Canis lupus familiaris: one gene and its partner. The protein of the gene in region 2 binds, or shares a complex with, the protein of the main gene of each other region. Links are inferred from orthologs where the notes say so. Each region holds a gene or a part of one and is shown on either strand. Other genes may lie near its edges.

What was found.
Region 1: the proteins of MAPK10 (region 2) and SH3BP5 are in contact, whole or in part, in a crystal structure (PDB 4H3B), measured with the Homo sapiens proteins. The link is inferred for Canis lupus familiaris from reciprocal best matches to the Homo sapiens genes MAPK10 and SH3BP5. Residues at the interface, in NP_620448.1 of Homo sapiens: Lys121, Asp150, Ala151, Gln155, Val156, Met159, Leu161, Glu164, Arg165, Tyr168, Tyr171, Val197, Lys198, Ser199, Asp200, Cys201, Trp362, Asp364, Glu367; in NP_004835.2 of Homo sapiens: Val341, Val342, Arg343, Pro344, Gly345, Ser346, Leu347, Asp348, Leu349, Pro350.

Annotation. Positions count from the first base shown.
Region 1 is NC_049244.1:27,840,658-27,845,524, forward strand, and holds part of SH3BP5 (SH3 domain-binding protein 5), read left to right. Parts: intron 1-978; coding exon 979-1,021; intron 1,022-1,723; coding exon 1,724-1,943; intron 1,944-4,670; coding exon 4,671-4,867. UniProt on the Homo sapiens protein: Functions as a guanine nucleotide exchange factor (GEF) with specificity for RAB11A and RAB25. Inhibits the auto- and transphosphorylation activity of BTK. Plays a negative regulatory role in BTK-related cytoplasmic signaling in B-cells.
Region 2 is NC_049253.1:30,096,110-30,101,542, forward strand, and holds the start of MAPK10 (mitogen-activated protein kinase 10), read left to right. Parts: upstream 1-2,208; 5' UTR 2,209-2,271; intron 2,272-3,309; 5' UTR 3,310-3,434; intron 3,435-5,433. UniProt on the Homo sapiens protein: Serine/threonine-protein kinase involved in various processes such as neuronal proliferation, differentiation, migration and programmed cell death.

The DNA of each region.
Region 1 (4,867 bases), on a different chromosome or scaffold from region 2:
TTTAATGGAGGTTTTTGCAAGCTTTTTTTCACTGCTGCTGTATATTTTTATATAGTAATGATGTTGGGGACAAGCCCCCTGCTTCACTTACAGTTGCTGGGCCTCCAAGCCAAAGAGCTTCCCAGGGAGTGAACAGCTCAAGAATAAAGTACTGTCTACTCTTAACGCTTGACACCAAAGTTCCAAAAAAGAGCCAGGGTCTTTTGACTGACCCAGAACCTGGGGGCTAGTAGAATGTTGGCCTTTGTCCTCTCTCTTGCCCATGACCTGCTGGGTCTGCAGACTGACACTCATGGACAGAAAGCAAGAGGACCCCTCTGAGCCTCCATCCTTTTGGTGAGGGAGGAATAATGCTTCTCCCTTCTCCAGTGACAGGTGTGTGTTGAGGCAGTCCCTTCTCCAGCCTCGTCTATTCTTTTTTTTAAAGATATTATTTTTTTGACAGCAAGTGAGAGAGCGAGAGCAAGTGAGAGTGTACAAGTAGGCAGAGTGGGAGGGAGGGGAGAAGCAGGCTTCCCCACCGAGCAGGGAGCCTGACATGGGGCTCCATCCCAGGATCCTGGGATCATGACCTGAGCCAAAGGCAGAGGCTTAACTGACTGAGCCACCCAGGCAACCCCAGCCTTGTCTGTTCTTTACTCTGAAGGAGACAGCCTCCTCCTTAGGAGAAGGGGATCTGGGCTTCCTTAGCTGCTGGGCACGCCCTGGATGGTCCTGAAGAGCCTCCTACAGAGGAAAGTGAACCAAGGTTTAAGGGCCCCAGGATGAGTGTTCACATGTGTGGGTCCCACAGGTCTTGAGATGGGTGGGCCCTTTGAGCAGTTCTGACTGGCACCTGTGTCCATCTACGAGTATCATCTTCATCTCCTGGCCTTGTCAGAGTTGACGAAATCCTGGACGGTTGGCCTGCCAGCCCTAGCTAGTGGTGTCTGTCGGGGTCGTCGTATTCTCACCCTCACAGTTTTGTGTCTTCCACAGGCCTTATTTTGAACTCAAGGCAAAGTACTACGTGCAGCTTGAGGTATGTGTGGCGTTCTTTGGCTTTGCTGTTGGCTTTTCTGCACTCAAAGCTCCACTTTTATGTGGTAGTGGACTTTCTACTGGCATATTGGTAGAAGAGGTGAATGGAGAGAGAAACACATTCTTTACTGAGTTTTCAGGACTCAAAATGGCCTTGGTTGGGTCTTCAGTGGCCTCTGAAGTGCTCTGAATCTTCTGCCCAGCCACTTTCTGTACTGTCCCCGGGCAGTGGCTCCTCGGGGCTCCTAGGACCAGTGTCGTCATCACCCGGGGAGTGTAGGTTCCTAAGCCCCACCCCAGACACAGACTGCAGGTGGAGCCCAGCCATCTGTGTTTTAAAAAGGCCTCCAGGGGATTCTAATGCAAGTTCGAGAACCCCAGTACGAGGGACCAAATGGCCAGAAAGTGGGACCGGTGTGAGTTAGACACCCCTTACTGTTTCTCTGGGGGCTTTATTCCGCCAGTGGTAGTTTCTGGTTCTTAGCTCGAGTTTGTCACCTGGATGGGGGTTGGGGCTGGTGGGGACTGCTGTTTTATCTGGTGTGTGGATAGCTAGATGAGAGAAATCAGGCCATCGGTCACATCTTGGGGAAGTTTGGAGTAGAGTGACGGGCAGAAAATGGGCTTGAACCTGTCATTCAAAAGCCTCTCCAGGCCGGGAGTGGCTGCCTCCACTTACTGAGCCTCCTCTTCTCCTGAGCAGCAACTGAAGAAGACTGTGGATGACCTGCAGGCCAAACTGGCCCTGGCGAAAGGCGAGTACAAGACGGCCTTGAAGAACCTGGAGATGATCTCCGACGAGATCCACGAGCGGCGGCGCTCCAGCGCCATGGGGCCCCGGGGCTGCGGCGTGGGGGCCGAGGGCAGCAGCACGTCGGTGGAGGACCTGTCAGGGAGCAAGCCTGAGCCAGATGCCGTTTCCGGTGAGTTGGGGGCTCCTGCGCAAGGGCGAGATGACGCCGTAGCTTGTGTGGTCTGCTTCCAGAGCTGTCTCGCCAGTATGGAAGCGCCTCAGAGTTGGCAGGCCGGAGACTTGGCTCTTTCTCATGGCTTCCCACATTTTGCGGGACACCGTATTCATCGAGGTGCTACTGAGTGTTCTCAGAGTCAGGCTTCTGTGGTGGATGAGTTTGGAAAATGTTACACTTTCACGCTCCCTGACATTCAGAGTATGTGTTAGAACATTCAGGGCTCTGAGCAGTACTGCGGGAAGGGAGAGTTGCCTAATAGGGCCCCGTGCACTTCGACTGGATTCAAATCCTGGCTCCCCCGTAGTACATGATGTGGGCAAGGGCTCAACTCTGTTTCTTTACCTGTAAAATACGGAGTATGAGTACCTGGTATCCACTGTGTAGAAGGGAGGTTAGAATTAAATGAAATAATGTAGGCACCCAGAAAGTCTGAAAATGGTGGCCCTCACTGGTATCGAACCGTGGAGACCTTTTTTCCCCCAGGGCGACCCCGTGGGAAACTGAGAGACAAATTTGGTGTGCCCCGCACTTTTATCATTTTACTTTTTTCACCATGATAAGTATACTCTTGAATTCCCATCCCCTATTTCCTCCATCCCTCTGCCCCCTCCCCTCTGGTAACCATCAATTCTCTGTAGTTAAGTCTGTTTGTTTGTTTTTTTGTCTTTTTCTTCATTTATTTCTTAAATTCCACATCTGAGTGAAATCATACGGTATTTGTCTTTGACTGATCTCGCTTAGCATTATACCCTTTTGCTCCATTCATGCCATTGCCAGTGGCAAGATTTCAATCTTTTTGATGGCTGAGTAATATTCTATACCCACCCCCCCATCCATTGGTGTAGACACTTGGGCTACTGATACCTTGGCTATTGTAAATAATGCTGCTATAAACATAGGGGTGCATGTATCCCTTTGAATTAGTTTTTGTATATTTCTGGGTAAATACCCAGTACTGCGCTTCCTGAATCATAGGATAGTTGTATTTTTAACTTTTTGAGGAAACTCCAGACTGTTTTCCACAAAGGCTGTGCCAGTTTGCATTCCCACTACAGTGCAGGAGGGTTCCTTTTTCTCCACAGCCTCACCAACACCTGTTTTCTTGTGTTTTTGATTTTAGCTATTCTGACAGGTGTGAGGTGATATCTCATTGTGGTTTTGATTTGCTTTTCCCTGATGATGAGTGATGTTGATCTTTAGGTGTCTGTTGGCCATCTGGATGCCTTTGGAGAGATGATGTCTGTGCATGTCTTCTGCCCATTTCTTAACTGGATTATTTGGGTTTTTTTGGGTGTGGGTTGACTTGTATAAATTCCCTTAATATTGGATATGTTTTCCTTCACTGTGCAGAAGCTCTTTGACGTAGTCCCAATAGTTTATTGCTTTCATTTTCCTTGCCTCAGGAGGCCTATCTCAAAAAATGCTGCTACGACTGATGTCAGAGACATTATTGCCTGTGTTCTTTTCTAGGATTTTTATGGTTTCAGGTCTCACATTTAGGTCTTTAATCCATTTTGAGTTTATTTTTGCGTATGGTGAAAGAAAATAGTTGTTTTCCCTTTAGATTAAGAAAACTTCCAGCACTGTCTTTGCACACTTCCTTCCGTTTTCTGTGGAATAATCCTTATTGGTGCTCTCAAGGAGGTCCTTCTGGAGTTTTAAAATTCAGTAAACAAATGTTTAAGCCAGGTCCAACGGAAAGGAAAATCTGATCATCAGTAATGTGTGAGGTACTCTACTACCCATCTTCTCATATGGAGGAGAACATGAAGCTCAGAGAGGCTGAGGAAGGCTACACAGCAATTAGTGGAGAACAGGATCTGAGTTCAGATATGAGCCTGTTTTCTGAGCTCAGCATTTCAGTAATTTTCATTTATGGTAGTCCTTTAGGGGATGCTACTGCTGTATCTCCCCCACCTCCCTCAACCACTGCTGTTTTTAAAGATAAGGGAGGAGGGAAAAAGAGAATAGGAAAGGTCTAAAAAGCAGGATTGTATGCAGGCTGAGGGGAAAACAGTGAAAGGTGAATGTGGCTTTCAAACCACAAGAATGATCTGTCCTCTGAACCTTGCTTATTCTGATCCACAAAATGAGGCCCAAGTTTAGAGCATTTTAAAGGAATTTTGTCCTTTTGCAGCAAATGGTGATATACTTTGTCTTTTATGTGATCAGAAGGTGCCTGGAAGATCACAGAATCCCAACAGTTACTCCACACAGGACCATTTCTTTTTGTAGCTCCTGCTTCTGCTGCATGGAAGCAGCTGTTACGGCTGACTGGCTTTGTTTAGTGTGCATCACAAAGGGCCACTCTCTTTCTGTACATGTGGATCTACCTGGGGACCTGGGGCGGAGAAAAGCCCCTGTTCTGGGGCAGATTCATCCTCCAACTTTAGGTAGTGTATTGAAGTAGTTGACACTGACTTCTAGGGTAGAAGTTAGGAGGTTATTTTAAGGACACGGGATATCCATGGGGTCCAACTGCTTCCCTTTGAAGTTGGCAGTCTGGCCATGCAGGCTTGGGAGGGTCAGGGTCCTTTTCTTAGGTGCCCACGGTGGCAAGGATTCTGTGGTCCCCAGGCCGCATCCAGCTGCCAGCCAGAAGTGCACACATCTAGAGGGGTTTCAGGAACTAGGTTGTTCTCCGTCAGAACCTACGACTGGTATTGTCTCTCCTCCTAGTGGCCTCCGAGGCCTTTGAAGATGATAACTGCAGCAACTTCGTGTCTGAAGATGACTCGGAAACCCAGTCTGTATCCAGCTTTAGTTCAGGGCCAACAAGCCCATCTGAGATGCCTGACCAGTTCCCTGCAGTCGTGAGGCCTGGCAGCTTGGATCTGCCCAGCCCTGTGTCTCTGTCAGAGTTTGGGATGATGTTC
Region 2 (5,433 bases):
CACTTAGAAGTGGAACCTTAAAAAAAAAAAAAAAAAGTTGAATCATAGAAAGTAGGAAAGTATTGGGGGACAGGGGTGGGGGGAGAGTAGGGAAGAGTTGGTAAAAGGGTACATATACACTTTCGGTTATAAGATAAATGAGGTCTGAGGATCTAATGTGTACTATGCTAACTGTTGTTGATAACACCATATTGTATAGTTACAATTTGCTAAGAGAGTAGATCTTGAGTGTTCTTACCCATCCCCCCAAAGGTAAATATGATATGTGAGGTGACGACACAATAATTAACTTGACAAGGGGAATCTTTTCACAGTGTACATGTATACCAAATCATCACATTGTATACCTTAAATGTCTTACAGTTTTGTCTGTTATACTTTAATAAAGCTGAAAAAAATAAAAAGAATAGCCTTTTTAATGAAGATATGAATTGCTGCAAAGTGGAAAGAAGTCGAATTTCTAGACCAAAGTCAAATATAATCCATGATGTCATGACGCTTTGGTCATGTTTCTGAGGCACAGCAGCAAAGCAAGGATAAGGAATTGCTTTGTGCATGGATTGAAGTGTGGATAAACCTGGGGATGTCTAGCAAGAATAACTGTTTCTTTATCTCACAAATCAGCTTCTACTGTAATATTAAAAAAAAGTATTTTTTCTATTAGCATAGTTTTTCAAAAGTCAAATACTCTAATTAGATTTTTTAAGCTCTTGCTACCTGAGGAAACTGAAGCTTCTTTGGTATTATTTATAACTAGAACTCCACATCCCCCCTTTATTACTGTAAACTAAATCCACACTTTCAAAAAAATCTACCCAGGACATTGAAAAGCTGTGTAGAACTACTATTTTCTTTGAAGCAGATATTCTGCATTTAAAAAGTATGTTTTACCACACAAGGACATAATTTGGCTAGTTAGGGTGTTCTTAGTGAAAAAAAAAAAAAAGAATCTTTTTATAAGGTTAATAAAAGTTGGTTCAAAGTACATTTTCTGCCATTGAATTTTAGCAGTTGTCATCTGTCCACTAGGAAAATCTTTCAGCAGACCAATCTTATCTACTTTCTTTTAATGTGAATATAGTTGTTTTCTGAATGTTAAATTGACTTATAAGTGAAAAGATAATTAAAAGTGAATGCAACATGCCATTGTATATTTGTCAAAACTCATAGAACTGTACAATACAAAGAGCAAAATCTAATATAAACGATGGACTTTAATGGATAATAACATGTTATTATTATTTGGTTCATCAATTGTAACAAACTTACTATACTCATAAAACATGTTAATAATAGGGGAAACTGTTTTGAGGGGACAGCAGAGTATATGGGGATTCTTTGTACTTTTCTGCTCAGTTTTTCTGTAAACCTTGAATTGCTCTGAAATATAAAATCTATTAATTAAAAAGAAAAGTGATACAGAGATAGGTCCTTTCATCTTCTGTGACATCAATCACAAAGTTTACTGTCATTAGAAATCATTACTATTCTATTTTTTATTGAGGCATAATTGACATACATGCATTACATTACATTTATTTCAGATATACAATAAAATAATTTGACATCTGTATATATTAAAAAATGATCACCACAATAAGTCCAGCCAACATTTATCACTCAGCCTCATTGGACATGGAATGTTGTCCCTCTCTTAAATCTAGAGCTGCGGGCACCTCTGTATAGAATTTTTTTCTTGTGATAAGAACTTTTAAAGATCTGCTCTCTCTGCAACTCTCAAATATACAATGCAGTATCATTAACTGTAGTCACCATGCTATACATTACATCTCCATGATGTTTATTTTGTTACTGGAAGTTTATCCCTTTTGACTCCCTTCACCCATTTTACTCACTCCCCACACCACCTCTGGCAACCATCAATCTGTTCTCTGTATCTATGAGCTTGGCTTTTTCTTTTCTTTTTAGATTCCACATATAAGTGAGATCATGTGTTATTTATCTTTGTTTGCTGACTTATTTCACTAAGCATAATGCCCTGAAGGGCCATCCAGGTAGTTGTAAATGGCAAGATTTCATTCTGTTTTATGGTTGAATTATATATATATATATATATATATTTTGCAGTCCACTGATGGACACTGATGGTTTCCATATCTTGGCTGTTGTAAGCAATGTTACAATGAACACGAGGGTGCAGATATCTTTTCAAATTCGTTTTTTTTGCTTTCTTCAGATAAATACCTAGAAGTAGAATTGCTGGATCATATGAAGAACCATTAGTATCTTGAGTTCACCATCATGGCCGTGGTAAGCTATTGGCCTTGTGTTTCCCATCCAAACAATATAATAAAAGATATTAATTATAGATAAGCTGCATTTGAGAAATTATTTTAAGATATAAATTTTGACTCAATTTTGAGAAATTTTGTTTTTTTTAACTTCAAGTTTTCTCAGTGCTTTTAATTTAGTAATATGAAATATAACTTTCCAAAAGTGAGATGTTGAATGCAGCAACTCTGAAACTTTTAAATTATGAAATAGTTTTCCAAAGGACTAGAGATCCCCAAGTGGAAGCATCATGAAAAATACATGACAAACTCTCTGAGAAAAGCCATTATTATATATCTTGAAATGACAGTGAATCAACAATGACCCTCTGCATTCCCTTCATATGTATTCACTCACCCAGTTATACTGGTTTATCTTTCATAATTTGCTTGTGTTTACCAAACCATTTGCAACCTCTTGCCACCATATTAATTTATGACATAATAATCTAATTGTTGGAAGTGTTAGCTAGGTGACAGTCCTCTTTAGCAACCCCACTATTATAACTAATTCTTGACTTCTTTCTTTTGTAACTTTTGAAGCTGGGACCTTTAATTCTCATCTGAGGGTTCAAGTCCATTTTAGACTTTAGGCTAGGATGATCAACCTTCCAATTTTGCCTGGGACCAAGGGATTTCCTGGTATGGGGGACTTGCTAATCTGGGAAGTTTCTGGCAAATGGCGATGAGTAGGTAACCCTAGGACCAATTTTGATAAGAGATCTTAGTGCAGTAGTTAGTTTTACTGCTAAGCTCCCGTGAATGCACTTCGACTTGGATTCAGAAGTTGAATTCTTGCTCCAATTTCACTGACTTGATTCCTTCGTGTTTCCCTATTCCAGAGTCCCTTCCCATTTGCTGTTTGGAAAGCCAATTCATCAGTACCTTCATTTCCTCCAGAGAATTGAGTCCTAACACTGAATGATAGCTCCTACAGCAGAACCTAAGGATCTCCTTCTTGCCAGGCTTCTCTGAAAAATTGTTTTTTAATGTCCAAATTTTTATTTCTTGTTTTTAGATAAACCTCCATCAATTGTCTATTTCACTTTGGAGGGTTTGCTAGATCTATTAAGATCCTATTGACACCGATTCTGGCCTTTCCTTTTGCTGGGTTTGCTTGCATCTGCAAAATCAAGATTCAAGGTATGGTATCAGATTTGTAGGTTTAGGAACTCTAATTTATTGCTCATTCAGCACTTTTCTTCTTCTTGGGAACTGATTTACTATTATTTTTAAATTGTGACTCAATTTACATGGAGTTAAATGCACTAATTTTAGGAATTACACTTTGAGGAGTTCTGACAAATACTTACACCTATGTAATAACTTGCACCTCTATCAAGATATAGCACATCTTCTCACTACAGAAATTTCCCTCTTGCTCTCATCACAATCTTCAACTGTGTGGCTCCCCCAGGCAATCACAGTTCTGATTTCCATCACCATAGAACAATTTTTTACTTTATAAGTGGGTTTATAAAGTAAATGCTCTCTTTTGTCTCATTTTTTTCACTTAGCATAATGTTTTTGAGATTCATTGATGTTATTGCATGTTTCAGTATTCATTTTGAAAAGGTAATATCAAAAAGTTTTTATTTCTAAGTGAAAGGACATCTTCTTATTTAGAAAATAAGGAATATTCCTGCAAATCTTCAGTCCTACCTCAAACTATAAGCATGCTATAAAATAAAGATATTTGTATATAAGAAATACTAAATACAACTCTGTGTTTTTGAAAATAAAAACTTGTACTCATTTATTCACCTAAAACTCTTCTTTCAAAAGCCTTTATGACTGATAGTACTAATAGAATTCAGGTCAGACTTCTAGACTAAATAGTTTCATTTGAAAACACTAAAAATAGTTTAAAACAGGGGATCCCTGGGTGGCTCAGTGGTTTAGTGCCTGCCTTCGGCCCAGGGTGTGGTCCTGGAGTCCCAGGATCGAGTACCCACATCAGGCTTCTGCATGGAGCCTGCTTCTCCCTCTGCCTGTGTCTCTGCCTCTCTCTCTCTCTCTCTCTCTCTGTGTCTCATGAATAAATAAAATCTTAAAAAAAAGAGTTTAAAACAGTTAATGTTTAAATATTTAATATTATAACAGAAATTGCCTCCTTTAGTATTGGGTATTTCAAAACTTAACACTCCATAATAATATTTGAGATAAAAAGTTTGATAGCTGGTAAAAGAATGTTATAACCTTACTGATCACCTACTAAGTGTAAGAAAATATGACAGATTCCTGGAAAAGGGAAATTTCAGGGAAAACAATGAATAATAAAGAAGATTAAGTTACAGTCAAGTTTGAGGTAGGATATTGTATAGTTATAAAATTAGAGTAATACAACATATAGTTTGGTAAACACTAAATGAAAGGGAAGAGATACTTTCATGGGAGTTTATGTGGTGGGTACAACTATGCATAAATAGAGTGCCTGCCAAATACAATGGTGTCAATAGGTATCTATTGTTTTTCTTTTTCTGTCTTTGATTAAAATTGTATTTTGGGGAGGAAGGGAGGCTCTAAAACAGATTGTGTTGGGTTGAGGAATTGCAATGGAAGTTTACGTTAGGATCATCTTATTGAGGACACTAAGTAAATAGTTTTTATTTTATCCAGTCAGAAAGGGGATTTATTTAGCGTTGATTTTTTAAAAAGCCAACTTATATTAAATTATCTTATTTGAGGAAATTTTCTTATAGTGTATAGAATAGATTTAAAAGACCATTTGATCATCTAAATATTACTGAAATGAGTAGGTTGGGAATTAAAGCTCTAAATAGTAAAATCAACCTTTAAATCTAAAAGCAGTGTTGGAATCTATTTTTCTTTGTAAATTGTACCGTCAAGAATTAGTACCTGGGGCGCCTGGATGACTCAATGGTTGAGCATCTGCCTTTAGCTCAGGTAGTGATCCCAGGGTCCTTCCTTGGATGAGTCCCACATCGGGCTCCCCGTAGGGAGCCTGCTTCTCTTTCTGCCTATGTCTCTGCTTCTCTCTGTGTGTGTCTCATGAATAAATAAATAAAATCTTAAAAATAAAAAGAATTAGTACCTAATTGAAAAAAATGGTTGGTTTTAATCTATTCATAGTTGTCATTCTTTTTTATTGCTGAATAGTATACTATTATAGGAATATATC